4 linked regions of the Caenorhabditis elegans genome follow. The protein of the gene in region 2 purifies or fractionates together with the protein of the main gene of each other region. This does not show direct contact. Each region holds a gene or a part of one and is shown on either strand. Other genes may lie near its edges. The genes, in order: clec-59, ZK1053.4, ZK105.3 and phy-2.

What was found.
Region 1: the proteins of ZK1053.4 (region 2) and clec-59 fractionate together in Caenorhabditis elegans (co-fractionation; one large-scale study listed by BioGRID). This does not show direct contact.
Region 3: the proteins of ZK1053.4 (region 2) and ZK105.3 fractionate together in Caenorhabditis elegans (co-fractionation; one large-scale study listed by BioGRID). This does not show direct contact.
Region 4: the proteins of ZK1053.4 (region 2) and phy-2 fractionate together in Caenorhabditis elegans (co-fractionation; one large-scale study listed by BioGRID). This does not show direct contact.

What each region holds. Positions count from the first base shown.
Region 1 is NC_003280.10:10,476,106-10,482,430, forward strand, and holds clec-59 (VWFA domain-containing protein), read right to left. Parts: upstream 3,344-6,325; coding exon 3,304-3,343; intron 3,257-3,303; coding exon 3,138-3,256; intron 3,090-3,137; coding exon 2,976-3,089; intron 2,931-2,975; coding exon 2,731-2,930; intron 2,684-2,730; coding exon 2,487-2,683; intron 2,438-2,486; coding exon 1,917-2,437; 3' UTR 1,899-1,916; downstream 1-1,898. Other genes in the region: clec-58 (VWFA domain-containing protein), read right to left, coding at 1-34; ZK666.4 (Pepsin-I3 domain-containing protein), read left to right, coding at 1,154-1,588; clec-60 (VWFA domain-containing protein), read right to left, coding at 4,047-4,567, 4,615-4,817, 4,865-5,064, 5,226-5,339, 5,386-5,528, 5,673-5,712.
Region 2 is NC_003279.8:13,239,368-13,247,011, reverse strand, and holds ZK1053.4 (SET domain-containing protein), read right to left. Parts: upstream 5,358-7,644; 5' UTR 5,344-5,357; coding exon 5,194-5,343; intron 5,145-5,193; coding exon 5,022-5,144; intron 4,974-5,021; coding exon 4,845-4,973; intron 4,799-4,844; coding exon 4,537-4,798; intron 3,902-4,536; coding exon 2,516-3,901; intron 2,461-2,515; coding exon 2,405-2,460; 3' UTR 2,282-2,404; downstream 1-2,281. Other genes in the region: ZK1053.3 (LisH domain-containing protein), read right to left, coding at 1-159; ZK1053.6 (SLC41A/MgtE integral membrane domain-containing protein), read right to left, coding at 6,286-6,450, 6,585-7,012, 7,064-7,279, 7,335-7,644.
Region 3 is NC_003283.11:7,693,925-7,702,420, forward strand, and holds ZK105.3 (Glycosyltransferase), read left to right. Parts: upstream 1-3,217; coding exon 3,218-3,409; intron 3,410-3,452; coding exon 3,453-3,567; intron 3,568-3,616; coding exon 3,617-3,738; intron 3,739-3,825; coding exon 3,826-3,911; intron 3,912-3,958; coding exon 3,959-4,037; intron 4,038-4,212; coding exon 4,213-4,319; intron 4,320-4,364; coding exon 4,365-4,529; intron 4,530-4,572; coding exon 4,573-4,893; intron 4,894-5,092; coding exon 5,093-5,234; intron 5,235-5,294; coding exon 5,295-5,370; intron 5,371-5,411; coding exon 5,412-5,494; intron 5,495-5,566; coding exon 5,567-5,939; intron 5,940-5,992; coding exon 5,993-6,164; intron 6,165-6,366; coding exon 6,367-6,486; intron 6,487-6,533; coding exon 6,534-6,665; intron 6,666-6,712; coding exon 6,713-6,836; 3' UTR 6,837-6,890; downstream 6,891-8,496. Other genes in the region: srsx-40 (G_PROTEIN_RECEP_F1_2 domain-containing protein), read right to left, coding at 7,124-7,332, 7,432-7,568, 7,614-7,828.
Region 4 is NC_003282.8:12,209,622-12,219,370, reverse strand, and holds phy-2 (Prolyl 4-hydroxylase subunit alpha-2), read left to right. Parts: upstream 1-3,383; 5' UTR 3,384-3,384; coding exon 3,385-3,462; intron 3,463-3,507; coding exon 3,508-3,593; intron 3,594-4,181; coding exon 4,182-4,599; intron 4,600-4,897; coding exon 4,898-5,119; intron 5,120-5,161; coding exon 5,162-5,404; intron 5,405-5,690; exon of another isoform or gene 5,691-5,711; intron 5,712-5,940; coding exon 5,941-6,011; intron 6,012-6,116; coding exon 6,117-6,216; intron 6,217-6,777; coding exon 6,778-6,831; intron 6,832-7,068; coding exon 7,069-7,134; intron 7,135-7,831; coding exon 7,832-7,930; intron 7,931-7,976; coding exon 7,977-8,159; 3' UTR 8,160-8,274; downstream 8,275-9,749. Other genes in the region: F35G2.3 (uncharacterized protein), read right to left, coding at 8,634-8,783, 8,830-9,114, 9,577-9,663. UniProt on the Caenorhabditis elegans protein: Catalyzes the post-translational formation of 4-hydroxyproline in -Xaa-Pro-Gly- sequences in collagens and other proteins.

The sequences.
Region 1 (6,325 bases), on a different chromosome or scaffold from region 2:
CAAAAATAGCCAGGCATGCAAAAACTGTATTCATTTTTTGAGGCTTCAGTTTTTGAATGTCTTTCTTGAATTTTCACTGATCTTTTATACTCATTTGTTTCTTTAATTTTGTCTCTAGATTAATTTTAATGTCATCATACTTCGTGAACTTATCAAAATGCTAAGATGACAGATAAGAGAAATCATCGCATTTTGTAGCTGCAAATTTGTGAAGGTGTGTCTCTGTGCATCATAAATTCTTAAACAGTGTCCTGAACTCCTGAAAAACTTCAACGGTTTTTATAATTTTTGTATTTTCAAATCTTAAAGTTACCAAAATTTGCAGGCAAACTTCATTAGCTTTCTCTTTCAAAAACTTTTCTGTTGTCAAAACAGATAAGAAAGTTGATAAGAATTATCACCAAACTAAGAAGCTCCCATCATTTGTAGTTTCTAAATGTCAAAGGCGTGGTTACGATCGTTTGAACCATTATGTGTATTTTAGTTGGAAAAATGGAGTCTCTTATCAATGACTTTTCAGCCAAAAAAAAAATGTAGTTTTGATTCAATATTATCAAAGAGGGATCAATCATTGAAACATCTTCAAAAAATATAGGATAGCATATTTTGTAAGGGAATGATGAAAAAACCCTTCTTTAAAAAAAAACCAATATAGAAATTATATCAATTATCCCCAAATTTGAAGTAACACTTTATTTTTATGCTATTTAATATTTTCCCCAGATATGCCGGAACAATATTCGCCTCCACAATCTCAATGATTTTGTTGTGAATATAATCGTCACCCCCAACAGGAATAATACCATCGTCCTTGATATTTTCATTTTTTGAACAAAGCTTTTTTTCCAGATCTATAAAGATAACGATCGAACCAGTCTGAACATCCAGCTCCCCACTTACAGCGATCAATAATAGCCACACATCAAAACTATCCCATCGTAAAAGGTGCAAGGTATCCCCCACCTATATCTCCTATTGTCACAGTGGGAAAATGGCCAGACGCTGGTTAATATCCAAAAGGAGCGTGGCACACCGGACCATCTATATAAGGACAACCGGAATGAAAAAGTATCATTCATTCTGGAAATCTTCCAGTTGTTAGCTACCTAGCTCTCATTGCCTTTTGCTCTTAATTCCTATTATTATTGCCAAAATGGAATACACTCAAATTCCTTCCTTTGCTCTCTACAACAATGCTTCCATCTTCCAATTCTTCCCCCGTAATAAGCGTCTCAGTACTCATCAGAAATCTTGCCTTGATGAGCATGCTCGAAAAATGGCTGTTTTCATGATGGAGAGACAAGAAGAGTACCGTTACTACGAGAACTTGGCCAATCAGGAACAATTCTCCGATGATGCCTGCTTCAGTGACACTGGAATGGACTCCGGATTCTGCAGTGGAGACACTTCAACTGGACAATCAGCTTCAACATCTCCTGCTCCAGCCCATCTCATTCCAAACCCATTCTTTGATCCAGAATATGTTGCTTCCAAGACAACTATGAAACTCGTTGCCAATCCATTCTACAACCCAAAGCTCGCCAAGGAAATCAAGAAGAAGTCTACTCATACTTCTAAGTTTCAATAATTTCTCATTAACTCTTACAACTCTCCAAGTGCCAATTTGTTTTCTGTACTTTTCATTTGCCGGTCATTTATTTATTTTTTCTTACCTTTTATCTTGTTCAATATTTTGTAATTTTCCGCTTAAAGCAAAATTTCCCGTGTTTTTTATTGTTGTCCTTTCTAATTCCTAATCAATAAATTAATCAGTATAACTGAAAGATCGTTAAAGTTTGTCTCACAATTTTATTCATTAAATTAAAAGCAATCAAAGAATTGAATTTATTTGTTTGACAACAATTGTACATAGTATGAAGAAAATCAACATTAATAATAATAAATTACATATAAAACTAATGGTTTGAAATGGAATCACCTCCAGAGGAACAGTAGTTATTAGTGTCACAAGCAGCAGTTTCACATACATAGTTGGAGGCAGCTGCGAATTGATGAACGTTTTGCCATCCAATTTCCAAATCAACAGTTGTCTGTCGATTCAAAACAGTTGTCAACGAGGAATCAGATATTGGATATCCTGAATTCCAGATTTCATAGTTCTGAAGTTGTGGTTGTGTCCAATCTTGTGGCTGATCCCACTGCCACATTCCATTGACCTTGTTCAGTCCGATGTGATAGCTTAATGGAAAATGGAAACCAGAGAAGTTTTTGACAGATGATATAACAAAATTGTGTTTCCTGTTGTCATATTCATTGAGAAGATATGAATTTCTCCATCTATTACGGCATGATAATTGAGCAGCACGCCAGACGGCAGTCAATCCAACTGGAAGAATGCAGATTCCGTAACGGTAAGAATCCACGTCATCATGCAAAGCACGGTATTGAATCCAAGAAGTTGGACAGAAGCAATTTGCTGAACAATACGTGTTATTTCTTTATAAAATCAACTCAGTTTGAGATACCTTGAAGTAAAAATCCTTGAATTTCTCCGATAACATTCAAATTTTCATTCGAGAGATTGTGATAAGGAGTTGCAATTTTCTCGAGATCAACAAGAATGTCTCCGTCTTTATTTTGATCATATGCCACGGTGATAATTGTAACTCCAGAGGTTTTCAAGCGTTGAGCAACTGGAACTGGATTCAAGTCTCCACTTCCTCTGAAATTTTTTGGTTTTTAGTTGGGATTCCAAAAAATGCAACTCACTTGTATGTAGATGCATATACAATCACAACCTTCTGATAATGAGCACGGTTAAATCCATGCTTTCCCGCTTGAAAAACCTTCTCGGCTTGTGAAAGCCCTCTGGCAAGATATGATTCTTCAGAAGAGCTTATTGTTGCCAAAGCAGAGTTAATTCCACTATAGATATCATCAATTGATTGGAACTTGTTTAGATCCGCCGCCTGGAACAATACTAATGAGGAACAACAGTTTAGGGAAACGCTTACAGTTGTGGCATCAACATTGTATGTCACTAGTGCTAGTCTTGTAGTCTTTGGACTTGTCGGATTAGTGCCAATCTGTGTATTTTTACTGAATATGGAAGCAATATTTGCAGCGACCTGAAATATGCTCTTTTCAATAGAATAATTTGATTAGAATTACCGTACACTTGTCAATCCTCCCTTGGTCATTCCAGCAGAGTTATCCACAACAGCTACAACATCCAACCATAAATTACTCAAATCTTGTCCACATATGCGATCCGTATAGGACGAAGAAAGGTATGCTAAAAGTTACTAATTTTGGCAGGTAATTGATTGAAATAAGACTTACCATGAAACAAGAAGAAGAGCAAACAAATGTTTTTACTCATTTTTGCAAACAAATGAATGATTATTTTTCTCAATTCATTCTCTCTTTTATACACATGGAAGTTTCATTAAAATGATAATACACAAGATGCAGAGTGTATGTTTGAATTGAAGTATCCCAGACACACCTTATTACTGTCTCTTGTTTTCAAAAAAAACCAACGGATGAAACTTTGTTGTATTGAGGAATTATTTAACTGATAACACCACTGGTAACTTATTTTCGTACTACTATTTTTGAAAAGTAGTTGCAATGTTTTGAAATGCCGTACTAATTGAAAAAGTACGGGAGATTTCATTTGTTGTGAAACAATTGGTTAACGTAATTTTTCCTTCAAAATTATTGGTGAACAGTGTTGCTAAAAATTTTTTAAGTTGTAGCAAACGAAAAGAGAAAAAAGAAAGTTAATTATTTATTGAGAAAAGCCGAATAAATTTATTTCAGTTTTTGCTAGATTGTTAGAAATTTAACTTCACAAACTAAGAGTTGAATTATCAGTATCACAAGACGCAGTCTCACAAACATCTGCATTGAATGGTTTAATATTCTGCCATCCAGTCACCAAAAGTCCGCTTATTCGTTGGTTTGAAACACCTGGATTCCAAATTTTTATTACAAAGAGGGAGAAGCAGTACTAATAAAATAAATACGGTCTGTAGAATCAGAATTTATTATTATACAACAACAAGTATGTATCGTGTATATTAGTGTTTTACGGAAATTTCAGCAAGTCCAGCTTCGGTGCAGTAATTATCAGTATCGCAAGATGCCGTTTCACAAACATAATTGGCTCCAGTCGTCAGTGGCTTGATATTCTGCCATCCAGACTGCAGTTGCACACTTGATTGTTGATTCAGAACTCCTGTGAGAGTAGAGTCCGAAATGGGATATCCTGGATTCCATCCTGCATAACTTTGAAGCTGTGGTTGAGGCATTCCTTGTGGTTGATCCCATACCCAGACACCTTTGACCATACTGAGTCCGTTGTGATAAGTTAGAGGTACACTGAATCCTGTGTAATTGCTCACTGCAGTCAGGACATAATCGTGTTTGTTCGAATCGAATTCAGTGACAAGATATGCATTTCGGTTCATGCATGAAGATTTGGCAGCGCGCCATACCGCATTGAAACCGACTGGAAGAATGCAGACACCGTAGCGGTAGGAGTGAACATCAGTGTAAGATACACGGTATTGAATCCACGAGTTTCGGCAGAAACAGTTCACTGAAAATAGTTTGTATTGCTATATAATATAAGTTCCTTTAACAAACCTTGCAGCAAAGCATCCTGAATCTCTCCAATAACTTGCCCGTTGTCTTCGGTATTCGTGAAGTTGTATGGTGGAGATGCAATCTTTGCCAGATCTGCAAGAAGAGCACCGTCTCCGTCTTGATCATATGCCACAGTAATAACAGTCACTCCAGAAGTTTTCAGTCTTTCAGCAACTGGCACTGGGTCCAAGGCTCCGGATCCCCTAAAGACAAGCAATAAATGGTTGCACAAACTGTCTAAAGAACATACTTGTAAGCTGATGCATAGACAATCACAACTCTCTGATAATGAGTACGGTTGTACCCTTGTTTGCCGGCTTCAAGTACATCTTCTGCTCTTGCAAGCCCATTTGCTAGATATGACTCTTCGGAAGTGCTGACTGACGAAAGAGCACGGAAAACATTATCGTAGACGTCATCGAGTGATTGGTATTGGTTAAGATCGGCTTGCTGTAACATTTTTAATGTCTCGAAGATTTTGATACTGATAACGTGGAGTATGGTTGGTGGAAGTTTGTAAATACATAATAATTCCCAGTTCATGAAAGAAGTTACTGTAGTTTTTCTTGATGCAACAATTGTGACTTAAAACTATTGAATTAAAATCTTACAATCGCCGCAGCTTTGTTGTAGGTTACTAATCCAAGTCTTGTGGTTCTTGGCTCAGAAGGATTTGTTCCAATTCGAGTACCACTACTGACGACTGAAGCAATATTAGCGGCAATCTGGAATTCCTCATAAAATAGTCATTTTTGCAATTAGTTTGCCTACACTTGTCAATCCTCCATTTGTCATTCCAATCGAGTTGTCCACCACAGCTACCACATCCAACCAAAGATTTCCCAAGTCTTCACCGCATCGACGGTCGGTATAGGAAGGAGACGGAGTTGTGGAAGAATCCTGAGCAGAGCACGCTGAAATAACGTAAATCAAGTGGCGGAGCGTAATTTCCAGGAGGGGGACCACTTAGTTAAGGCAATTTTTTTAAGCAGGTATAATTAGATTTCAGATATGTAGCTAAAAAGTTTTATAGTTCTGTGAGGGACTATTTGACCTACCGTACACTCCAATCAAGACAATAAGAAATGTGAGTTTCATTGTGAGAATTGCAATAAAAGTGAAATCCAACTTCTTGCCCAACCTTTACCTGAAACATGATAACATGAACAAACGCAAATCCTGAACAATGTTCTATAGCAGGCAGGCGTGATAGGCGCCTGCCTTATTTTATGAAAATCAAAAAAATAAATGAAAAACAAAGTCGCATTGAGGTCAGGCAGGCAGGCCTTTTGCCGCCAACATGGATTCCCTATCGGCAAAAATTGACGGAATTGGGCAAAGAAACTTCATCAGTAAAGTGGTTGAACACTAGTCAAGGATGCCAAAGAGGGGAAGATGCTCTATCACACTTATCACCACTTCTTTTATATTGTCCATCTTACTCTCTCTCTCTCTTCCGTGAAATCGGTACTGATAATTACCGAAAACCTGTTTACTTTGATCTACAAATCGTATAATCGTTTCTAAAGCAATTAAAAAGTTCCACAAGCTCGGCTCGAAAAGATCATGACCACACCCGTAATGGTCATATGTGCTTGAGAATTCATTCCAGGCGAATTCAGAGATTCTTATCTCTCGTTCCGGCGTATTTTGGCGCCAATAACTGAAAGTACCGAATGAGCGATTTCGAAATATTTTTGATAACAGTTAT
Region 2 (7,644 bases):
ACGGTCTTGGTCTGAAGTTCCAGCCGCATTGTTAGGAGCCGCTGGAGCTGATGCTTCGCCAGTTTCATTCCCAGTCGCAGTATTGGAGAAGTAACTGTCCAGTTGCTGAACAAGTCTCTCTTCGGTACCTGGAGGGTTTGGAGTGTTAGAGTCCGACATTGGCGCCTGAAAAAATGGTCTAAGTGAGTTTCATTGTGGAATGTAAAAAGGATGAGAAAAGTGTTGAAAGTTGTAAAAATCTAATTTTCTGAGGGCCCTCGAGCTATAATATGGTATGTCTTAAATATGACGTCATGAGAATTGGAGCAAGACTTGGAAGTGGATCCGACTCGTTGGTTTGAATTGTGAGAGCAGGAACTTCGACATTTTCATTTCTAGCTGGAGTGTTGAGAAAGTATCTGTCTAGTATCTCAACAAGCCTGCGTTTACGGTCAGAACGTCTAAGGTTTGGGAGGTCCGGCATAGTTGTCTGAAAATAAATTCTACATAATATAAGAGAAGCTGGGGAACGAAAAGAGCTGAGAAAAGATTAAAGGAAAGACTGACTCTGAAGGAAATATTATGTGTCCCCGCAAGACACCGCAAAAAACACAAAATCTTCCCTTTGGTTCGATTTAGAGATAAAGCAGAAATAACAAAAGCGGTTCAAATTATTTTAGTCGAAAATAACAAAATTTTGGCCGACTGTAAACGTTTTTCCTACTTGCAAAATTCTACGTATTTTCATTCATTTGGCTCAGAATACTTGGAAAACAATAAAATAAGCCATAGAAAGTCTCGAATAAAGTGAATTTCCATCTGCTGTTTGGCCGTTGAGTCGGTCGTCTACGGTTGTTCAGCCGCTTTTTGTTTGCCAATCAGCCATGTGCGGCTTTCCAGTAGCTGCTTTCGGAGCACATCGCTTAACGTGAGCCGTAAGAGATTACTAATATAATAAAAGAGAGATAAATTGAATTTTTAAATCTAGAAAGGCCTAAATTTTGTTTTTTTTAAGTTAAAGGAGACCGTCGGGACTTTATCAATTTTTCAAAATTTCAAAAAGAGGTAAAAAATTAATTTCAAATGTTTATACCTACAAAAACTAAAAACGCATATGTACTCGGCAATTCCCGGCAGCTTCTTTCCCAAGTTTGGGCCTTTTCAGCTTCTTACCAAACTCTTGCCAACTTCTAACCCAGCGTATGCCCAAGTCTTACCCAACTTCAACAATTCTAGTGTAAACTCCCTCGCCCGAGTCTTGCCCAAGTCTTAGCCAAGTCTTGCCAACTTCTTACCCAAGTTTGCAGATGTAAAGAACGAACAAGATTCCGAAATCCCGCATGCGCAATGTTTAGCGTAAATCGACACTTTGTCTTTTGATTAATTTGTATTTAAAATAGAGGAATTTCAATGTAATTGAAAGAATTCACAGGAAAACTTGTCCCTTCAAAGGCAAATTCTAAATATTTTTCTCTGATGGCTAACATTGTTTAAAAAAATGTACGATCAAAGTTTGATTTTTATTGCCATTTTGTCTAATAAACCATTTAATTCATCTAAAAATAAAAAGAAAAGTTATCTTCAGGATGATTCTTCTCCTAGTCAGTCCAATAGTCAAATAATAGTCAGTCAATCCTATGCATCAAATTTTGAATTTTTCTAAGACTGAACTGTTCCTTTGAAATGTAAACTTTTATAAAATTGAAAGACATGAAACAAACATGAATTACAGTAATTCTGTAAATTCTGAACTTAGAATCATTAGGGAGCACACTTGAAAACATATGAAATAAGGTATGTGAGAATACCGTATCAATCAGATATGTCTGATACTTCCTCAAAAATATCTATCAGAATATGAGTACGATATATTATTACTAGTGTGCATCTTTTCGCGCGACCATCATGGCTCAGCAGGTAATTCTTCGGAACAACAGGAAATGCGATCAAAGTTCAACACACAGGTATAAATTGGGTAAGAAATAGGCAAAACTTGGGTAAGACTTGGGTAAGACTTGGGCGACGCCTCCAAACGACGAGGCAGACCACGACTTTTTTCATTTTTGTGGCGGCGCCCAACTCTTGCCCAAGGTTTACCCAAGTCTTGGCAACTCCTTATAAATGTTTTTATTTTTTGGGCAAGGCTTGGGTAAGAAGTTGCGAAGCCTTGGGTAGGAAGCTGGCGGCAAACGCCGAGTACATTTTGTCCTCTTTCAAAAACATAGAATTGCTGATTTTTTGTTGTTCTCTTGAACAAAATTGTTGCGCAAAAATTCTGGCATAAAAACGTTGTTTTAGTACAAATCGACTGAAGGTATTTTATTGTAAAAAAGCAACGTTACAAAGAAAATTTCAGATATTAAAAGACAGAGAATGTTCGAATTTACAAATTTTTTTTTACAAATTACGAAAAAATAGAAGATTTTCAATCAATTTCAGATGGTGTCGGTTGTGGCGATGAAATCAATTGGTGATTTGTTTCTGAAAATTGGTCTTGTAATATTTCTAAAAATGATGTATAGTAACAATCACAAACCTGGAATAACCATTGCTTGAACAGAAGAACATTGTGACAAACTTGGAGTAAATCTTTGTGGCCAAGGAAGAAAAATCTCAACATTCGGCAGCAGATTCTTCATTTTCTTCTCAGCAATCTGCACGGCAAACGTTGCGACGGTAGTTTTCGGAAGCTTCACGAATTGCTTCTTCACCATACAAAACTGCTCTTTTCTCAGCTGTCCATCATCATCTCTCATAATTACTTCGACTCCCTGCATGGAATTTTGCTCTAGTATAAAGAAAATATTTCCCTCCTGTACTTTTTCCGAATCGTATACTAATCCTGGACAAGTGACTTGATGGAATCGCTTCTTCTCACAATCATATGCATATGTCTCCATTTTCTCTGTGAATTGGTTCTGGACGTGGATGATGTATTTGCAAGTTTTAGCACAATATTCGGAGTACTTTGGGATCAGATCATTTTCAGTGGTTCCAGTCTTGCAACAATCACATACATGCAAGTTCAGCTCGTTTTCATCGTCGTTCAACGAATATTTAAGGTACTGGCCGTTGGGTTGAAGCATGTAAAGGACATCCATCTCATAGGTTTGACAGTATTCTTTTTTATAGGTGGGAAGTGAGGTTATGTAGGATACGTGCTCAGCATCCAATGTCTCCTCAGGTTCAGCGTCAGATTCCGGTTCAACGTCTTCTTCCACGGGTTCTTCAGCTTTTTGCATCCATAATGGTCTGACAGGAGCATACGGGATTTGAACCGAGTGCCCGAACTTATGAAGAAGTTTTCTAACTTTTTCTCCCGATTCGTCCCTTTCAATGATCACCTTGTCTTCTCCTTCTCCTGCAATCATCGCGACAAAGCTTCCATTGTACTCCACGTGCTCAGAGAAAACCAGTTCCGGAAAATCAACCTGCTCGAATCCTCCAGTTTTGAAGGAGAAGACGAATTGTCCAATTTCCTCGGTGAATCCAATTTCCATAAAAATCACATGATTCGAGATTTTCTCACACCAAACTGCATAAAGTGGGTATAAATCGTTTTCTTCAATCTGTTCCCGACACTCGACACAACAGTGCTCTTGGAACTTTCGATTCTGATGATCATAAGTGAATACGGTACCGTAAGGTTTGTCCACTTTAAAAGTGGCAACATTCCGTGAAGGGCAATATCCAGTAGATAACATTGAAGATGCATCAAATTTTGGTTGGTGAAAATTGTGAGAATGAACGAATTGCTGGCTCGGCTGTGGAGGTGGATACAGTGAGTATGCACCTGATCGTATCTTACGATGAGGGAAACTTGCAGTCTCAGGATACATTGGAGGAGGTTTCAAAATTGATGTTTGCACGGGACTAGGTTCTGTTGAGATCGATGATGTGTTGAGAGATTGAGAGCCTTTATCTGAAAATTACCTATTGAAGTCAATTAATGCAGCTGTTGAAACATACTATACGTAGTACTATGCATGTTCTTCCTCTACGATTTTGAAGGGAGGCACAATTATACAAAATGGTCTCTAGCCGCGCGTTTTGAACTCACAGCAGGGATGGGTAGCAAACGATTTTTTTCCGGCAAATCGGTAAACCGGCAATTTGTCGATTTTCTGAATTTGCCTGTTTTCGGCGAATTGTGGTTTTGCACAGTTTTTTTTGGAAATTTCAGAATTTTAATTTCAATCGGTAAAATTGTACGCATCCTATAAATGTTCCTACATCTATATTGAAAAGTAAAAAAATTTTGGGAAAATATCTAAAGAAAACCGGGAAAAAAATTTCAAAATGGCACTGGTTGATGTGTTTCCGTCTTATAAAAAAATCCTTCTGAACACTTCCGGCAAATCTGATATCCGGCAAACGTCAATTTGCCAGAATTGGAAAAATCTTGTGGGCTAAGAAAAAAGTGAGCTAAAATTGAAATTTGAATTTCCGCGTAAATTTTTTTTTGATGGCTTTGAAATTCTTTTTCTTACACTGCCCATAGTTAGCCAAACATGTTTTATACATTTTAAATTGCTTGTACAAAAAATTCTGAATTACCTTCTTTTGATTCTTCTGATTCTTCTGATTTTTCTGATTCTTCAGAAATTGTTACTAACGAAACATCAGAAGACTTTCCTTTAATTTCGCTGAATAAAGTTTCTAGAATTGATGACCGTAGTGAATGATCAGGGGGCCCGGAAGATGCACATTTTGCTAGAAGTTCCGTAGTCTCGTCTATAATTCTTTCAAATGGGCTTGAAAGTCTTGGAGCGGGAGAAGCCTCGCGGCTTGGTTCTGATGGGGTTTCGGGCTTTCTAATCTGAAATTTTTTTTTCAGTTAGCATTAGACAGTCTAATAAACGAACATGACAATTTTTCAGCTGAGAAATGAATTTGTCTACAGTAATATCTATCAACTGATCCGTGGTTTCGACCAGTTTGTTCAAAAATTCTTGACGACTAGCTATAGCATCGGCGATGGACGGCTCTTCGGTCTGAAAATATGAATATTCGCATTACTGAATAGTTTATTGTATGCCTACCTCGCTAGAATTCTGTGTATCGATTTCCTCTGTTTCTTCTTCACGAATACTCGACCCTCCCATCATTTCTCTAAACTTTGTGGGAAAACTTGTGTAAGCGTATTTCAGCTGAGCTTGTCGATGCTGGAAAAAATGAGATAAAAACGTGATAAAAATTAAATTCCAATCTCACCTTAGACCAAGAATCGTACACTTCTGAATCCTTTTTCATATCCTCCATAACTGCTACCTGCTCCGTTACATTCGTCGCTTTTTTGAGTCTTTCATTGAATCCCGACATGCGACTTTGCAAAGTTTCCGTTGGAACGGTAGATGGTTGCATTACAAGACCTGAAATAAAAACTTGTAACAGAATATTTTAAAAACAAAGGAGATTGCAGTACGTGTTAAAAAGTGGACAGAGAGGGCAACAGTGCGATGACGTAACGACTGTTTGGGAGGTCAGGACGCGTTCAATACGCAATGGTCCTCTGTGTACGCTACACTTTTGCCAACCCAAGATATCGATCTTAAATGTTGACCGAGAGAGACAAAAGATGTGTCTTGTTGGAGAATGTATTATTAAAAATTATTAGATACATTTTTTGTAGTAGGGTGGGCGGCAAAAGGGTTTTCCGGCAAATCGGAAATATGCCCAAAATAAAAATTTCCGGCAAATCGGCACATTGCCTGAAATGAAAACTTTTGGCAAATCTAAAATAATTGATAACACAGGGGTTTTTCCATGCTGATACCAAAAAAGAGCAGACCAGTAAAATGTGACTGTCCCCACCAGAGGAGAGTACTTTCTTAGTGTATCTATTAAGGTTGTATGTACAGAATGTGCAAGGGGCCAGGTCACTGCGTCTTTTTGGGCACACTACTGTGTATGAATAAATGACCTATTCTCCCCGGGAGACAAAACATTAGGGGGTATCACTTAAAGAGTACAGTGAAAGAATGGGAAAATGCAATATTCTCATCAAATTTGAATTTTAGAGAAAAGAATCTGAGTTGATAATTGTGGTCAGAATTGAGCCCCCATGAACAATAAGTAAATTCCTAAAAAATTGAGAAAAAAAATTGCCTTAGAGACAAATTTATTCATAGCTAATTTTTTTAAATGAGGAAAAAGCAATCACATTGTATCTTCGACTTTACTATTTGTATATTTATTGAAAAATTGGCATATGTGGTCGAACTCAAAAACTTTCCACTTTGACGCATCTGAAAATTAGTGTTTTTGAGATTGTTTGATCATGAAATTGAGATTAAAGTGATATCCCTACCGAAATCCTTTATCCAACGATAAGAACAAGAGGTACAGTAATCCGCATCCGCAGACGTCTGCAGCAGAGGTCAGAAGTGGAATTGCATGATTGTCCGGATCAATACCGAATGACCAGAAGGCGAAGACTATCAGCTGGGCCAGGTAGAGAATTGTGGATTGCTGGAAAAAGTGGAGGTTCTGTGTGGAAAGTCTTGATCACAGATCTACAAATCTTGATCTACAGTAACCCAACATTACGCTTATGACCATGCAGGAACCCTACACAGGGGGTAACATCAGTACGATCAACTTACTTGAATCAAAACTACTAGTGCATATGCAATGAAAAACCGGAAATCCGTCTCCACCGGCTCATCAATCACAAATGACATTGCAGTCGAGAGCCCGACAAAGAACATTTGAAACGGTAACGCCGTGAACAACAGAAGCCTCGCAGTTCTAGACTCTGAGCTCGCAGATCTGTAGTAACTAATTGGCGATGCACGTTGCCTCCATCCCAGGTCTGATGTCTTGTGTACTTCTAGATGTGATGATATCCTTGATGCAAGGACGGCTCCTCGATTTCCAGCGAGTCCAGAGATGAGTGTTTGATATGCTGGGTAGTTTGGGTAGGTCATCGCACCTTTACTTTGAAGTAGACCCGCACCACAGCTGACCATCGCTGCAAACGCCAGAGTGAAGCACTGTTGCTTGGCAATGCGCAGAGCATCTTCGTCGTTCCCTGGAAAATTTAAGATTTTCGAAAATCAAAAAAGTTGACAAAGAGACTTACATGCTATCATAATCCATAGAGGTATGCTACACGCTGCCACCACAACAATCACCACCGGCACCGAACTTGAAAACCCCGAATATGGACGAAGAAGATAGCAGAAAAAGAGCATCGAGCCGATTGTGAGCATGTCACTGATACTAGCGCCCAGTGGAGCTACAATGTTGTCAGGATTGTAATCATTCTTCCAAGCACAGTAGACTATTGTGAAGAGGACTGAAACAATTTTTATATTATAAAAAATTTTCAAAGTTAAGACATTGAGACTTACATGTTGTACAGATCGCGCAGTTCAGTGCAACCGAGAGAATTGATGATCCCGTCAGGAACAGTGCAGTTTCCTTGTTGTCTAGGTAGTGGTAGGTGTCATTGTGGATTGATTGTAAGCTTGTCGAGTTGGCAAGTGTCGGGTTGTCCAAAGACGGTGTGATTTGCACGATGCAGTAGGAAATCAAGTTGGTCAGGATGCAGATGAGAATTGATAAAGCCTGCGCCACTGCAGCATTCTTTCTGACTCTCAAATAAATATCTGGCTCGTTGAATTCTCCTTTATGAGCTAGTGTTGACATTCTTGAAGAGAA
Region 3 (8,496 bases), on a different chromosome or scaffold from region 2:
TGACTACCTCAGATCATTGACTACCTTTTGGCTCATTGACTACCTTCAATTGCTCATTGACTACCTTTATCTAATTTTTCAGAATTTTCAGTTTATTTCGCTGAAAAATCAGAATTTTCAATAACATGTTACTTTTTGATGTCTAAGAAGGTCGTGCACTTTCTCATTTCCTGATATTCCGGAAAAAATAGAGATGAGATCTGATGTATAAATGCTCATTGACTACCTTCAAATGCTCTTTGACTACCTCTATCTAATAAAATTTTCCAAAATTTATTTTTTTGAAAACTTTTCAAAATTTGATCAGATATTGTAGAAAAGTGCAATTTTTGTCGTTTTTCTAGTTTGGATGTTCTGCACACTATTGCAGACGAAAACCTGAGGTATAGTAGAACCCCTAAGCTCAAAAAAACGCACTCACTTCGGATGCTGATATCTCCGTGGAAAAAAAATTTATGGCAAAGTGATTAACTACAAAGTTGTATATCTTAATCTAAAGTGCAACTTTGTAGTTGATTGTTTTTTCTCAAAAAATTTGTTGGTCGAGATAAAGTTGTGTAAAGTTTGGCACCTTCATGCTTGTATTTTCTTCTTCTTTTTCTGTTCATATCTCATCCAACAAATTTTTTGAGAAAAAACAATCAACTACAAAGTTGCACTTTAGATTAAGATATACAACTTTGTAGTTAATCACTTTGCCATAAATTTTTTTTCCACGGAGATATCAGCATCCGAAGTGAGTGCGTTTTTTTGAGCTTAGGGGTTCTGCTATACCTCAGGTTTTCGTCTGCAATAGTGTGCAGAACATCCAAACTAGAAAAACGACAAAAATTGCACTTTTCTACAATATCTGATCAAATTTTGAACAGTTTTCAAAAAAATAAATTTTGGAAAATTTTATTAGATAGAGGTAGTCAAAGAGCATTTGAAGGTAGTCAATGAGCATTTATACATCAGATCTCATCTCTATTTTTTCCGGAATATCAGGAAATGAGAAAGTGCACGACCTTCTTAGACATCAAAAAGTAACATGTTATTGAAAATTCTGATTTTTCAGCGAAAAAAACTGAAAATTCTGAAAAAATAGATAAAGGTAGTCAATGAGCAACTGAAGGTAGTCAATGATCTAAGGTAGTCAATGAGCAAAAGGTAGTCAAAGAGAAGGTAGTCAATGAGTGTTTGCCGTAAAACTGGCAGACTCCAAAAATGTCGGGACATGTGTGACACCTGCTCTACAACTCACACACATCATTCAGGCATTTTTGATTCCCAAAAATACATGAAAAGTCCACATGATATAAATTTTTAGACCCCCGACAGATAACGGCCAAATTTTACACTTTTGGATCGTTTGTATTCGATTCACACTTTTAAGAATGAAGAACTGCATGTCGCGAATAGCATGGAGCAGGATCTCCATTATTCACGACTTAATAATTATTCTATAATTATTGCATAAGTATTACTGTAATTGAACTCTACTGGCGAAGATCACTACTACGAACAATCCACATCCACATTGCTCTGAGAACTACATCATGCAACCAAGAACAAGGACGTCAATCCATTAAACACGTGAACCACTACCGCATGCACAAAAGGATGACGGACGCGAGCAGCCACGTGGTGACCTTTCCACGTCTACACCGACGACCACAAGACACGTGTACAACACCGCCCAACAGGAGATGCTCATCGAATCAGTCTTAACTTTTTACTCGCTTCATGTTCTTACTTTATGTTCTTGCGTTACTTGTCTATTAGTGTTACTAGTTGTCTATAATAAATCCTTGTAGAGTCACCAAGTGTACTGTTAGTTTAACTTATATAAAATACCACTGAACGCACTGCAAAACACTGCAGGCTTTCTGGAAAATGTTTTACCGCTTTTATACCGCTTGTAAATAACTTTGTTTTAAAAAATGAATATTTCAAAAATTTACTGTTAACCAAATAGTCTTGATTTGCATGATTTGCATGCAAATTTACTGTTAACCAAATAGTCTTGATTTGCATAAACTGATTTTTATCAATGTGGAATCTATAATAATGGTTCATATCTTTTCATTAACATCCTAGATTTACTGAACGATTTTTATAGTTGTGTTTCATTCAACGAGTTAACTAAATAAACATTTATAGTGTCTTGATAACTTTCCTCCAGAAAAGTGATAATGAAATTCTACGGAGAAAGTACACTTTTTGATCGACAACAAATTGCATTCTGAAAAATTATTTCCTACAAAATGTATGTACCACGAATGTTGCAGAAAAATCTTATCCTTTTACTTTAATTAATATTTTAATTGAATTAAACTATTTACTATTAGGGCTTTTGATGCCTGACTCATGACTGTTTTGGCCAATTGTTTGCATTTTGATGTCAACTCTTCTCAGACAAACGCTTAGTCGTCTAATTAGATTTCAACCAAATATAATGGGGACATAATTCATATTTGTTTAGAAATTCATGTTTGATTATATTTGCTCCATATTTTATTATAAAATCCATGTTACATTAGATTTGTTCCATATTAGATTAGAAATCCATATTTGATTAGATTTGTTCCGTATTGGATTAGATTTAAACCAATTTCATTAGATTTGTTTTATATTGGATTGGATTTCAACCATATTTGATTAGAAAATCCATATTGGATTAGAATAGGAAGCCTATTAATTATGTCCCCATTTGGTTGAAATCTAATTTTTGGTTGAAATCTAATTAGAGGACTAAGCGTTTATCTGAGTTGTGTTAAGTGTTTGCACATTGTAAAGGGTTATCTCTTTATTTTTTCTAACTTTGAAAGAAGAAATGGTTGAAATTCACTTCTATGAGACCAATATGACCAAATATCGTAGAAAAACATTTCAACCTTTTTTGAAAACTTATTATTATGGTCTCATTATGTTTTAAATATTAATATTCAAGCACATTAAATTTCTCAGGGAAATTTAATATTAGAATGGTATCCATCATATTGAGTTATAGGGGTCTCAAAGCAGCTGGGTTCAAAAGCAGCTAGCTGGTCATATAAAGAGACCACCACGTTGTAACTTCCATGAACATTTTGTATGTTCTTAAAAACGCCAAGTCGATCGCCGGACATCTGAACTTGTCTATTGTGACAAATGTCTCATCTCACTCTATCTTTTGTTTCTTTTATATAGATTCTAAAACAAGTATCAAGTGTTTATTCCACGAAAGTAATTTCAGATGAATTGGTCGATAAAGGCGTTGCTGTTTATTTCCTGCGCAACGACATTTTGCTATGTTGCACTAATGGGAAAAGCGGATCTATCTGCAAATGTAAAAAGAACAGAACTAATATCACCAGTTGTTGAAATAAAGAATGGAAATAAATGGATTGTTGTCACAAGTGTCAGTGCTCCAACTGAAGATGTTAAAGTAAACCGGTTCAGTGGTTTCAAATAACTGATACCATTTTCAGAGACTATCTTCATTTCCAGACTGGAACTTAGTTGTAGTAGCAGATACTAAAACTCCATTGGATTGGAAATTGGAAAATGTGCATTTCTTATCAGTCGAATATCAGAAGCAGTTGCGTGAGTTAAACATTGAATTCAATTTTTAATGCCAAATTTATATTTACAGCATTCTCCATATCTGCATTGCTCCCCTATAAATCATACACTCGAAAAAATATAGGCTATTTGTATGCAATTTCTCACGGAGCTGAATGGATTTATGACACGGATGATGACAATAAACCATATGTTAAGTTTACATTTTTTCAAGAATTTTTGTCCCATGAAATATCTGCTAATGATGGCATGTAAGATCTATGGGAACATTTGATTTCAGGTCAAGGATTAAAGCAATTCGACTTTGATGACACAATATCGGGAGTTCGGTATCGGCCTCAAATGAGAAGTGAGGAAAGAATATTGTAAGAAATTTCAAATATTGTGATTGCCTTTCATAACAGTTTTCTAGAAAACGACTTTTCAATCCTTACCGATTTTATGGAATGGATCAAATGTGGCCAAGAGGGTTTCCATTGGAACATATTGAGGTGGGAAAAAGTTAAGAGACAAAGGAAGACTTATGTATTCCTGTACGAACCTTCGCATTATTAATTCCACAGCGTGTTTTTTTATTTGTTTTTTAATATTGCAAAAAAACCAAATGACTTGTTTTCTTGAAAGCAATTATTTCCAAAAAAGTGAAAAAATTTCAAAAACGTTTAGAAACACACGAATGGGAACGATTCACAAGTATTGTGTTATCAAATGAAACGAGCAGCTGTGCAACAAGGTTTAGTGCGCCATGATCCGGACGTGGACGCAATTTATAGGTATGGAAAACTTTCAGTTATAAAGAAAATGTATAGAAATTTCAGACTGCTTCACGCTGACACTAAATCTGGTTTAAACTTGAAATTCAATAAGTTTGCTCCTCCCATAACTTTGTCCGTTGGCACATATTCTCCATGGAACTCACAGAATACATTGTTCCACAAATCAGCATTTCATACTTTGTTCCTCCCGACTACGGTGTCATTCAGGTTTACTATAAAATATTTTCATGGTTGACTTTTGATATTCCAGAACCACTGACATTTGGAGATCTTTTGTTTCTCAGAAAATCTTGCATTTATCCGGATTAACAGTGTCATTCGTACCAACAAACGCGGTACAATTCAGGAATGCGCATGACTATTTGAAAGATTTCAAGGACGAGAAACAAGTTTATGAAGATTCTGGAAAAATGATAGAATATCTTCATGACTGGAAATGTGCCCCTGAAAACTCTAGCGATTTGGAGAGATGTGTGAAACAGTTGGCTAATGATCTAGTTGAAGTGAAACTGTGGGGTAAAGAGGATGCTATGTTGACGGAAATGTTTTTGAACGATTTGAAGAGAGTGGGGTGAGTTGAAAAGAAAATGGAAGATTCTAGAAACGTAAAACAAATTTTCAACTAAAAGTTACATATCTGATAGTGAGTTTTATTATAAAAGTGAGTTTTAATATAAGAGGTGATTTGTAAAAGAAAAGAAACAATTATACATTTTTCACAAAAAATGGTAAAAGCGGTATTTTCAAATATACTCTTCTACTATTTATAGATTTGAATTCCCCCGCATACTTGATGGAAATTACGAGGATCCTTATACTCCATCGAAAAACGAAACCTCTAGAGATGTGAATTGCAGGAGAATGCAGCTAGACTTTGAATTAAAAGAAACAAAGAAAACTGACCTAGATGAGGTGGGAAAATTAACTCTCAAAAATGTATGAAACATGTGATATTTTATCTATTCATTCCAGAATGTTCAACGGGCTACTCGGAAAATAAATTATTTCGGAGATATCGTTTACTGGTGTAACGAAACTGATTATTCTAGTAAGTGTTCAATGTATGATTTTCTAATTCAGTATTCTCAGACTTAACGAATCAGTTCCCTTCTCCAGAGCAGCTTTCCAGGAAGCACGAAAACTCGTATGTTCTCAAAAAGAACTTAAACACGGTATGTTTGTCATTGTTAACCCGTTTTAGTTTTAAAAACAAACAACATAAATTTTTTTAACACAATTTTCAGGTCCTAATAGTTGTCAACAATTACCCATGGAAATATGGAATGGGTTTATTTCAAAGACTCTACGAACCATATTTTGCATCGACAATTTTCTGCGGTTCCTGGTATCCGGAAAATTTTACAAACGTTGATAACTTTACATCAACTATTTTTCCAATCAACTACGTTCATGTTAACCCTGCTGAAATCCACAAAGGATATTTTGCATATCATTGTGTCACTTTGGTTAAAGAAATGCGACTTAGCAATGTGGAAGGATATTTCATGATGGCAGACGATGCAATATTCAATATCTGGCAAAGAATTGATTACTCGAGAGTTTTCCATTTGAATGGAATCTACAACATTTCAAACGTTTGGTGGAGCGGAGATTATGGTGATTTGAAAATATTGGAACTTTCTTTTAGGTTTCTCCTTGTATTGTTGCAGGAAAAAAAGCAGCTATCAACATTTTGAAAACTATCAAAATCACTAACAATACAAAATTTCAAGATGCATGGAACAAATTTGACAAAGGATTGCAAAATTACGCTTTCTTCAACTTGACAGATAACGCAGAAACACAAATGCTGAATCCGATTGGAAAAAGTATCTCAGATTTGTGAGTTATGATTGCATCTTACTTTTCGGTAGGGTAAAGTTACACATGATTTTTGTGCACATTAGAAAAAACAAGTGACACATTGTTCACATCAGGGATGTGCGGCAAATCTCAAAATGCCAATTCGGCAAATTCGACAAATTCGGCAAACTTGCCGCACGCCCCTGGTTAACATATATCACAGTAATAATTCAAATTTCAGTTACTATATTCCCACATTACAAAGCGAGTACTATGCCAGTCTTATGCGGTTATTCTATGAAAACCAATTCTTCTTGGAAATCGCAGTGAATAGGTTTTTGCGATCCGTGGATCATTCAACGTAAATCAATTGTAAGCTGATTGTATTTATATGCAATTAAAGTTCAGATCTCTCTATGCTCGAACCAGTTATCTTTGGACAAACCGTGAGAAATGGGATACAGTTTATCACAAGAATATGGTTGCAATGCATCCTGTCAAAATTAGTAAATTCATGAAACCTGGTGCAGCTAGAAAGCGGTGAATTTTTTTTTCAGAATTTAGCAATAAAGTTCGAATTCTTGTAGATATTGCGCTTCAATACTTCAAATTTGGTCGGATATTATTTTCGGTGGATCTCGTAATTACACGGATAAAAGTGACGAAGAAATAGATTATATCAACGGGTTTCCTGTTAGACAGTTATATTAGTTATATTATTAGACAGTTATAGTTTCTTGAATTGAATTATGAATTGATCATTTTTTCTTAAATCGTTTATTGAAAGCATATGCAATTAAAAAAAAAGTGCACGTCAGACTTTTGTCAATTTTAGTTAAACTTTGTTCGCCTGAATAGTTGTCTGCTTATGAAAATGTACTTGTTGCAATTACTGGTCCAACTTGTTGACTTGATGCAAAAAATCTTGAAAACGCTTTTCGAAAGTCTCGTCTGTAGTTTTACAAATTAAAAAATCAACTCCTTGTAATCAAAAAAACTTACACAGTATAGCAAAATAAAGGGAGGGTGAAGCTTTGAGTTGAAAAGCTGATAATTCCAGCTGTTAGCTTTACAATTTGAATGCTTTCCAACGTGCTTTTGAAGTAAATGTTACCCATGAACATCACTGAATACGACAGAAACGCACCAAAGTAGTACATTACAGTGATTTTGATTAATGCTTGCACAATTGAAATGTTTGTGGAATCTTTAAAAAATCACATTACAAGTATTTCTGTTTGCCCGAAGAGTTTTTGCGCATTAAACAGTCCTATACTATTCCTATACTACAATCCTATAAACTCACCGTATTCCATAGCCTTCATCCGATAATTCACGAAATATTGCAGTGGGAATAAGATAATTGCAAATGAGAACGTTGAAACTTTGTACAAGTAGTACGCGTCGCCAAAACAGTTTGAAAGAACACAAATGTTTGAAGAGCTGGAAAACTATTTTTCAGTTTTAAGATTACAGCGCAAGTTCTACTTTTCAGTATCTTGTTGTAGGATAGCAAAGCCAAGAATCCAAAGAGCGTAGATAACTGGAAAGACGAGTAGAAATCCAATATAATACACTTCACAATGTTTCAAATTCTTGTATTGAATAGGTGTACACGTGGCAATTATTCTGTCGATTGTCAAAATAAGCGGCATAATTGTAAATGCGACAGCTCCAAAAGAACGCGGGATAGACAGGTACATGCAAATGTCTGGAAAAAAAATTATTTTGAACTCACAATCAATCTGTCTCAATTTCTAATATGTTTTTTTCTATAATTGCAATAACTTCTCGGTTTTTGAGTACATTTCTAGATTATTTTGAAAATAAACCAACCGCCAAATTTTGGGTACCCGGCCCCGCTTTTGTGTTTGTCTGTACAAAACTTATATGTGTTTCTGGCATGCAGGCAAGTTAAGCGAAATTAGAAAATTTTCACAGACAGATTATTCAAAAGTTCAGGTACCTTGTCGGAAAGGAACAATGATGGAAATTAATATTAGAGGTATTCCAGAAAACTGAAAAAGTTGAAAAACTATGGAAACCAAAATCAGACGATAAAACATGGACTTCAAGTTTTTGTTTTTCAAAATTATAATCAAGAAAATCAAGTTGAAAAAGAATCCGATGATGAATAGGAAACCGTAAATAACAATGATATATGCGAACTTGAAGTTGGTCCAAGTGGTATTGAACATGGTTCGGGGAACAGTTGTATATGAAAATGAAGAATAGAAGAAGAGGTGGGAAGGTGTAATGAAAAACATGAAGGGGCTCCGGAAATTGAAAAATGGTTATGTTGGACATTGAATAATATGTATACAGTTGATGATCAAACGTTGTTTTATGTCTGGCAAAAAGTAATGTGACA
Region 4 (9,749 bases), on a different chromosome or scaffold from region 2:
TCGGGACTGTGAAATCATTTAATTTTTGCTCACAATCAGAGGAAGGCACAAAAATATTAGTTTTTCTCAAGACCTTTGCCTGCCTCGCGCCTACAAGCTTGCCTAAATCTTCTGGCAAGCACAAAGGCGTTACGATGTACCTGAAAACTTCACACTTATTCGGTTGTGCTGCCTTCCTTTTTTATTACTTTCTGTCTATAGTTTTCATCTTTATTTTACCTACATCTACTTCCTCTTGGCACTTCCCTTTTTCTGTCCTCTCCTCAATTTCTCATGTTTCACAACGAAACAAAATTCATTAGATTTGGATGCCTTTCTGCCCATCAAGCGAGAAAGAAAACCTGTTTAGCTGACCAGTTCCGTTTTTTTTAGATTTCTTTTGCCAATTCTATCATATCAATATGCTGATGAAGGAAATTGAAAAAGTAATTCAAATCTCTCCTGTTTTGGAAAATGGTTGGTACTTTAGCTGCCTACCTGAAAGGTTAAGATTGGGCTAGGCGCGTAGGTATAGGCTGCCTCATTGGCAGGCAGTACCAACTACGTAGGTTTGCCTAAGTCTAGATCTAAATCATTTTGAAGACTATTAAATGTTAGACTTCTTCCTATTTATTTTGTTCGCCCTGTTTTCAACGATGGAAAAATGAATTTCCAATATTTTTAATTTCAGAAACCGTATCAGTTGTAAAACAATTAATAGTTTTCTTCCGGTAATACCGGTCTCTGTCTCCTTTTCCAAATATCCTTTCATCCATCACATCCTCAGAAAGTTTTTCAATCCGCTTCTCCTCCTCCCAGTTGCCTAGTGCTTCTGGTCTTTCTCTTTCACCATCTGGCACCCGCTGATCGAGTGGTGGCGTCTCCTCATCCTCTTTCTTATTCACAAACATTACTACCAAACTGCAGCATCACAGTCACGTAGGCATCGGAATATGCACGTCGACTGCGCATCTGACACGTAGAAGTTGGAAATAAAGGAGGAAGAGAGAGACTGTGCGACAGGGTGTAAACCGTCTCGGCTTCTTCTCACGTCTGCGCCCCCATCTTATATAAAGATCTACACACTTCAGCGGCTTCGCGCCTTTTCAGCTTCCGTTTTTGGTTTTTCAGTCCGAAAAGTTGCCTTTTTTTAAGTCAAAAAGTGGCAAATCGCCAGTTATTCCTATATATATTTTCAGAAGATATCCAAAAATGTTTATTCAACAAATTTCTAACTATTCTTACACAGCTTTTATTGCATTCAAATGTCACAGTGATTTGAAAATGCAACATTTCTTCAATATTTCCAAATGTGTCGAAATTTTTATTTTAGAAATTTGGAAGTTTTCAATTGACTCATTTAATATTAGGTTAGGAAGTGTACCAAACCAAAACTTTGACTGAAACCTTTCAAAAATCGTAGAGGTGATTCAGAAAAGTTTTTAATTGTTTTATTGTGATTTTCGGTGATGTTGGACCATTACAAGTAAATTTATGCTTTTGCTAGCACACTGAAATTGTCAGGAAATTTACCGAAATTCATTTAACATTTATTTAATTTTTTCAAGACCTGAATTATCGTTTTGGAAGTGGAGCAACAAACTCCGTCTAAATCAAGATTAACTTTTGTTTTAATCAATTTAATAAATTTAATAAATAGCAAAGATCTATGAAAATATATCAAAGCTTTAGACTATAGTCTATAGCTGAAAACGCTGAAAATCAAGTTTTATCTGATTCTTTTTTTTTTCAAATTCTATGATTATTAAAGAATTTCATCATAATTTTTCTACTTTTAGCTTTTTATCTGACTTTGCAATACATGTATTGGTTAAGAAAACTCAAAACTTTGAATTCCCCCTAATTAATTTAATTAAATTGAAAACTAATTAATACCCAATTTCCTCATCAATCTCCAATTATCCTCACCTTCCCATTTTCATTCTTTTCATTTCCACGTCATCCATAAATCTTGCGCGATTCAACCTAGTTATTGGTATTGTTAATGGAGGTCAATCATCCACTGGATCGAGAAGACACCGTCCGTTCCTACGTGCAAAATCTAATTGAGAGATCGGAAACGCAGGCAATCAGGAAGTTTCTTCTTCTTCGAGAATCGCGCGACGCGGCGAAAAGACTTCCACATCACCTTAGACGGTCTGATTGCTTTTCTCTGTTTTTTTTAGCGAATCCGCTATTAATCTTGACATATATTCCAAAGTTTGAAGGTTTTATATTCTTTAGGAATGTGTACATTCTGTATTTTTAGTTAAAATCAAACTTGAAAATGTAAAAATTAAAAATCGAATGTCAGTGTATCATTTAACTTTTTTAGTCCAGGTTTTGAAATTTATAGTTCTAAAAATTCTAAGAAACCTCATTTTATCTGAAATCATCATGCTGTAAACAAGGGTTATCAATCTGTCTTGCTGTTGAAAATAATATTATTTATTCGCATTTTATCTAGTATATTTTTACCATTTTCTATTCTCTATTAACCATATTTACAGAATTTTAATAAGGCATAACCAAGTGAAATGTTTCCAAAAATCAGATGACCATACAGTTTTGGAACACTATGAACCTAAAAATTGAATAATTTTTTTAAAGTTTTGTATAAAAAGCTTGAAACGCATTTTGAACACATACATTTTCCACAAAAAAATACTGAGTTCATCTATATCTCTGTAGTGGTAATCTATAAAAGATTGAGATCTAAGGTGACCTCAGATATCCTTTTATATTTATTTGGTCTTTGAGGCACTAATCAAAACTGGAAGAGATAGTTTTTTGCGGTTTCATCTAGATTTATTCCTTCATATTTTAGAACTCTTGGAATTAAATTATTCTGAAAAAAAAAACCATTTTTTGAAGCTCCAGAGATAAGGAAAAAAGGATCACACAATAAATCACGTAGGCCTTTATGTAGGTACATACTTGTCTACCTGCCTACAAGGCGACGGACGTGCCTACTGGCAAAATGGGAATGAACTTTTCCCATATAGACAGGCGGTGTCTGGCCTAACTCTATCCTGCCTCCAGACAAGGTTGACAGGTGAATGCTAAACTCTATTATTCTTTGTCTATTCTTCTTTTTCATAAATATATTCATATAAATGTGTCACACAATGCAACTTTTGTTTATAAACTTCAACATCCGTTCCACGTACACCTCCCTCTTCATCATCATCCCCCCTCAAATTGTAAAAATATACAAAAAGTGCTGGTGCAGACGGCTGCTCTCTACACTTCTCATCTGCTGTGTTCATCTTTTTCTCGTAGTCTCTCACTCTCTCGCCACCGATTTTGACCTCGAACATGTCAGTTGTGCACTGATTTTGACCCCCTATTTCTCACGTTCTACAGCTTTTCAAATTTCGGAAACAAATCGATTTGTCTTTCAGAATGAGAGCAGTTTTGCTAGTCTGCCTTTTGGCAGGACTTGCTCATGCAGATTTGTTCACTGCAATTGCTGATTTGCAGGTGAGTAGTTAATCTATGATTATGTAATTAAGTTAGAGATTTCAGCATATGCTGGGAGCAGAGAAGGATGTAACAACAATCATCGACCAATATATCGAAGCAGAGAGAGCCAGGCTGGATGACTTGAGGAGGTGAGTACTGTAGAACTGCAAAATTGAGTAGGTTCCAGGGATAGAATGCCGTTTAGTAACCGAATTGTAGATTATAACAAAATTTCCAATTCTCAGAATCTAGAATTAAAATTTTCTGATTTTCATGTGTTGGGAGAAAATAAAGTTATGTTTCTTCAACAGATGAAAACATTTGCTACAGTAAAAATTAGTTTTTTGCTGATTGTTGAGTTTTTGATTCAAAATTGATTGAACTCCATATTTATCAAATGTCCCCTCTGGTAGGTTCGAAATATAGGTTTTTTTTTAAATTTTTGATAAAAAGTCTTCCACGTGGGCACATCTTACGCCTGTCTATTGCCTACACGATTACCGATTGACAAAGTACACAAAATCTATTGAACTTTTAACAAGTTATTTTTGATTAGACAGTCCGCAAGGGCCACCAAAACGCCACAAAAAATTCTTAAATTTCTAAATTGTACACACACCAAGAATAAAAATGTTCGCCAATACCAAGAAATACGTGATATCATGAAAGTCTCACTTTAACAAAAACTAAACATTTTCGGACATCAAGGTGACTCAAATAAACAAATCATTTTACAGATACGCTCACGAATACGTGCACCGAAACGCTCACGCCGAATCAGTTGGTCCAGAATTTGTGACGAACCCAATCAATGCTTATCTTCTCATCAAAAGATTAACAACCGAATGGAAGAAAGTCGAAAATATAATGTTGAATAACAAAGCTTCAACTTTCCTCAAGAACATCACTGATAACCGAGTTCGTAGTGAGGTCAAATTCCCAGGAGAAGAGGATTTGAGTGGAGCAGCAACTGCTCTTCTGAGACTCCAGGATACTTACAGTCTTGATACTCTTGATTTGTCAAATGGTATTATTGGAGGAGAAAAGGTTTCTAATAAGCTTTCTGGACATGATACTTTTGAAGTTGGAAGATCTGCATATAACCAGAAGGATTATTATCATTGCTTGATGTGGATGCAGGTTGCGTTGGTTAAGGTAAGCCTGGTTTAGAAAATACGGCTTTCAAGCCGAACCTAAAACCAAAAAATATGAGCACTTAAACGCGTAGGCAGGCACGCAGGAAGCGAAAAGCATTTTCAACTCCATTTATTCGTATAAAAAGTAAGTTTTTTGCTGCTTGAGATTTGTAATTATGCACCACTACGAGAACTATCATATTAACGGTGGTTTCTTTGTACTTACTCAATTTTTTGATTGATGATCTATCGTACCTTAAGCTGGACTTTTTCCATAGCAAAATTCCAACAACAAATCCTAATCAAACATTTTCCAGATCGAAAACGAGAACCCACCAACAATTGAGGAATGGGAAATTCTCGAGTATCTTGCATATTCTCTTTACCAACAAGGAAATGTTCGTCGTGCACTTTCTCTCACCAAACGACTCGCAAAAATTGCTCCAAATCACCCGAGAGCCAAAGGAAATGTGAAATGGTATGAGGACATGCTTCAAGGAAAGGATATGGTTGGAGATTTGCCACCAATTGTTAACAAGGTTTTTTGCTTAGTATTTTATAATTTAAATTTTTGTTTGCAGAGAGTTGAGTACGATGGAATTGTTGAGAGAGATGCATATGAAGCTTTGTGTCGGGGAGAGATTCCACCAGTTGAGCCAAAATGGAAGAACAAGCTGAGATGTTATCTGAAGAGAGACAAGCCATTCCTGAAGCTTGCTCCAATCAAGGTCGAGATTCTTAGATTCGATCCATTGGCTGTTCTTTTCAAGAATGTCATTCATGATTCTGAAATCGAGGTTATCAAGGAGTTGGCTTCTCCAAAGGTGCGAAAATTAGATTATTCGATAGTTAAGTTAGAAATAAAGTACGGTGAATGGGGATTTTGTTTTAAAATACAAAAAGAAACTGAAATTCCAAAATACCACCAAAATATGGCAAAAATCGAGAAATTGCTAGATTTCAAATGTGACTAATATTTTCATTCGAATTCCAAACATCATCCAAAATGAGAACCCCCTTGAAAAATAATGTTGTTCAAATATCGATTTTTGTGTGGTATTTCTGAAATTCTGACTATTTTGGGTATTTTAGTACAATCTTCCCACTCACGCAACTATACCTTTCAGTACAATACTGAAACTAGAAATTGTATAATTTTAAGCTAGAACGTGCTACAGTAAAGGATTCTGATGGTAGCCTGGTTACTGTAGACTATCGAATTGCCAAGAGGTGAAAGGTATTAAACGTTTAACTGTACAGTAACATGCTGTGAACTTAGAAAATTAGATATTTGACTTACTGATTTCTTTTTCAACTTCTATTCTTTCTCCTTTGTTGCCTGAAGTGTGTTATTTTTTAGCTGAAGCGAGCAACTGTCCAAAATTCGAAAACTGGCGAGCTGGAACATGCCACGTACCGTATCTCAAAAAGGTTTGTGCTTAAGTTTTTTGGAACGGTTTTGTTTGATTTATTTTGAGTTGAAAGATTAACTAAATCAAGTTGATTATCAAATTTCTTGAATCAAAAATGTTTCAGTGCTTGGTTGAAGGGAGATTTGGATCCAGTTATTGATAGAGTCAACAGAAGAATTGAAGATTTCACCAATTTGAACCAGGCTACTTCAGAGGAGCTTCAGGTAAGCAAGAGCCCTGCAACATGGCTAAGGCCTTTAAGAAGGCACATAAATGCCTGCGTACCTGCCTCATGCCTTTATGATAGGCGTTAGATAGGCAGGCAGGCAGGTACGTGCTTGCCGACTTTGTGTTGAAACGGAAATGCGCACTATAGTTATATATTTTCCTTGTGAAATCCTCTCGGGCAATGAATTTACATTATTTTTTCGAAAGTTGCCAGTTTCTCGTAATTTTGAGAAAATGTAAAATGGGGATTAAATTATTTCATAGACTTTCTTGATAAACTTTTAATTTTCAAAGACAAAACTCGAAGAATTCTTGAAATTCTAAAAATCGAAAAATCGTTTAAAATTTCCATTTTTAGATATTTTCGTTTTTTTACAAAAAATTGAAAATTCCTTGTGTCCATTTTTGAGTTTTCTAGGCTAGTCACATCAGCAAAAAGGTCTAAAATGCCTTCAATGCCTACAGCCTAGAATATAGGCATTAGAGGATTCCCCAAGTTTTACTAAAAATATTAATTAAAGTTTATAATATTTTCAACAAAATTGTTGCTGTTTCAGGTAGCTAACTACGGTCTTGGAGGTCACTACGACCCACATTTCGACTTTGCCCGGGTAATAACAATTTTCAATTCTTTTTTATAATTTCAGATTGCAAATTACGGTCTCGGTGGTCACTATGAACCACATTACGACATGTCACTGGTTGGTTTACTGCCTTCCTGCTGACTTGTCTTGCTGCTAATTTTCAGAGAAAAACTGCCGAATCGTACGGTGGAAATGGTAATCGTATTGCCACTGTGTTATTCTATGTGAGTTTTCGATTCAATTTTAATTTTCCGTATTTTATAGAAAGAAGAGAAGAATGCATTCAAGACGCTCAATACTGGAAACCGAATTGCGACTGTTTTATTCTATGTGAGACATGTTTCATTTATAATTAATGGTTAATAAGATTCCATCACGAACTTTTTATTTGCATGAAAATTCTTTAGCTGTTATTGCATGAGGTGTGCTAATCCAAAAGTATGTGATGGAATCTTAACGTTTGAACTTTTAAATTTGTGATTTTAGCGCGTGGGAGCTGTGAGAAAACGGAAAATTTTTAAGGGGTCTTAAAATTTTACTGTTGATATTTAAAAATGAGGTTTTATAGTTTTTTGGCTCTATCGAACAATTTTTATTATTTAATCTAATAATTATCTTCTTTTTATGATTGTTTAGCTGAAACTGATGTATTTTCTAATGCCTACTTCTGGAAATTCGATAAATTCGAAACTGAAAATAACAATATCAAAATTTACTTTAAACTCAAAGAGCAAAAATCGTTCAAAATATAGTCAAACATTCACTCTCAAGATTTTGATTTTTTTGAAATTTTCAAACTTATTGGGTTCATAATTTTTACAAATAAATAGATGAAAAAATAGTAATATTTGAAAAGTTTACAAACTGATGTTTATATCCTTTTGGTACTGACCTAAATTACGAGAAAAGTGTGTGTGACGTCACATTTTACAGACGCGAAAACCCGACAGTTACTGTAGATCAAACACATTGTCAGATAACTAGAACGAACCCTCTGTTTCTCCTTGAACCAAACAATTTTTTTCAGATGAGTCAACCAGAACGCGGAGGAGCAACCGTCTTCAATCATCTTGGAACTGCTGTATTCCCATCGAAAAATGATGCTCTCTTCTGGTATAATCTTAGAGTAAGTGTTCATTTCTATTTTTCCTCGCAATTTGGAAATATTTCAGAGAGATGGAGAAGGAGATCTTCGTACCCGTCATGCTGCTTGTCCAGTTCTTCTAGGAGTTAAATGGGTCTCAAATAAATGGATTCACGAGAAAGGACAAGAATTCACAAGACCATGTGGATTGGAGGAGGAAGTTCAGGAGAACTTTATTGGAGATTTGTCCCCATATGCCAATGATCCATAGATTTGATTTTTTACTCTCTTTTTTGTTTTTTTTTTTAATTTCATTGTTGCTTACTGGTGTTTCACGGTTCCAATATTTTATTTGATCGCCAAAAAATGAAAGTGTTCTGGTTTTAAAGAATGAGTTTTTGATATTCTGAAATCTAAATTCAAAGCTGTTTATGCCTGCTTCATGCCTGCCTACATCAAACCTACATCAAACCAAGATTATAGTCATGTCTACTTCATGACTATAATCTTGCCTATCTATGTTCCTACCTATTCAAAATATAGTCCAACATTTAAAAATCCTGTGAAAAAATCACGGTTGTGGCTTGGATTAAAAATGATTCGATTCAAATCAGCATAAATATCTCCCTACGTGCCTGCCTGCCAACAACTCTAACAAACATGTAATTGTACCTGATACATACAGTTTTTCCTTGCCATACTTTATTAAGTTAATCAAAAATTATTTCAAAATTATATGGACAAATTAAATATTATTAACTTTAAAAAGACTTTTAATTTTATTATTTTCCTTATTTTCTTCTTCACTTCCTTGCAACGCACTCTTTAAGTCATTCTGGAAATTTGTTTTGTTGAACTCGATCTCGAATTTAAGCAGTTCAATCATTTCGTTTTTCTGAAATTATAGTTTTAAAATTTAATTCCATGTAAGAAATCCGAACCTCTTTAATAATCTTTCTGGCTTGTACCAAATCATCAACCAACTCATTTGCATCTTCCTCCGCAAATTCCAATGATTCCAGTTTTTGGCTCAATTCCTTTATCACCTCGTTTCGCTCTTTCAGTTTTCTCTGAAGTCCACCAATTTTTGCCACAAAATCTCTTTGATGCATTCGAATTTTGATTAAATGATTGCTGATTTTACTTCTCTCTATTTTCATCTCCTTCTGGTGCTCTTTAATCATTTCCTCACTAGACTCGCACATTAATTTTAGTTGGTAATGAGCCTGCAAACGTTGTATATAAAAAAGAATGTCAAGATGCCTGCCTACATGCCTGCCTACCACCTAGCTCTATACATTTTGGCATGCATTCAGGAATTTAGTGAACCTCTAGAAAGTAAAACTGGGAAAATTTCCAAAGAAAATTTAGTTAATTTTCACCAAATTTTCGAAAGTTTTTTTTTTTAAAGTCAAACATTTTCCAATAAAATATTTCGCATTTTTTTCAAAAAAAACACATTTTCCCAAAAAAAATTCGATCCGTTCTACTGTCTATTTTAAAATTTAATAAATCTTCTCAGCTTTAAACACCTCTTAATTTTTTATGAGGGGCTCCAATAAATAGCTTGAGGGGAACACGATTATTGGAATTTACTTTTGAAATTGAGAAATTTTCAGACTCTCGAGAATTTCATTGATAATGCTAATAAAATATTCAAAAATATAAAAAAAAACAACAAAATTTACCTTTGCCTTTTCCTCAACTATTTGCAACATTAACAGAGCTACAGTAACCGCGTACAGTAACCCGAATAGAATCGGGAAATTATCCATTGAAAGTGTCATATTCCCGTCTTGAAAGATATTAGTTAACCACGACATTATAAAATAAAAAGATTGTCTTATAAGATAAGTAACAA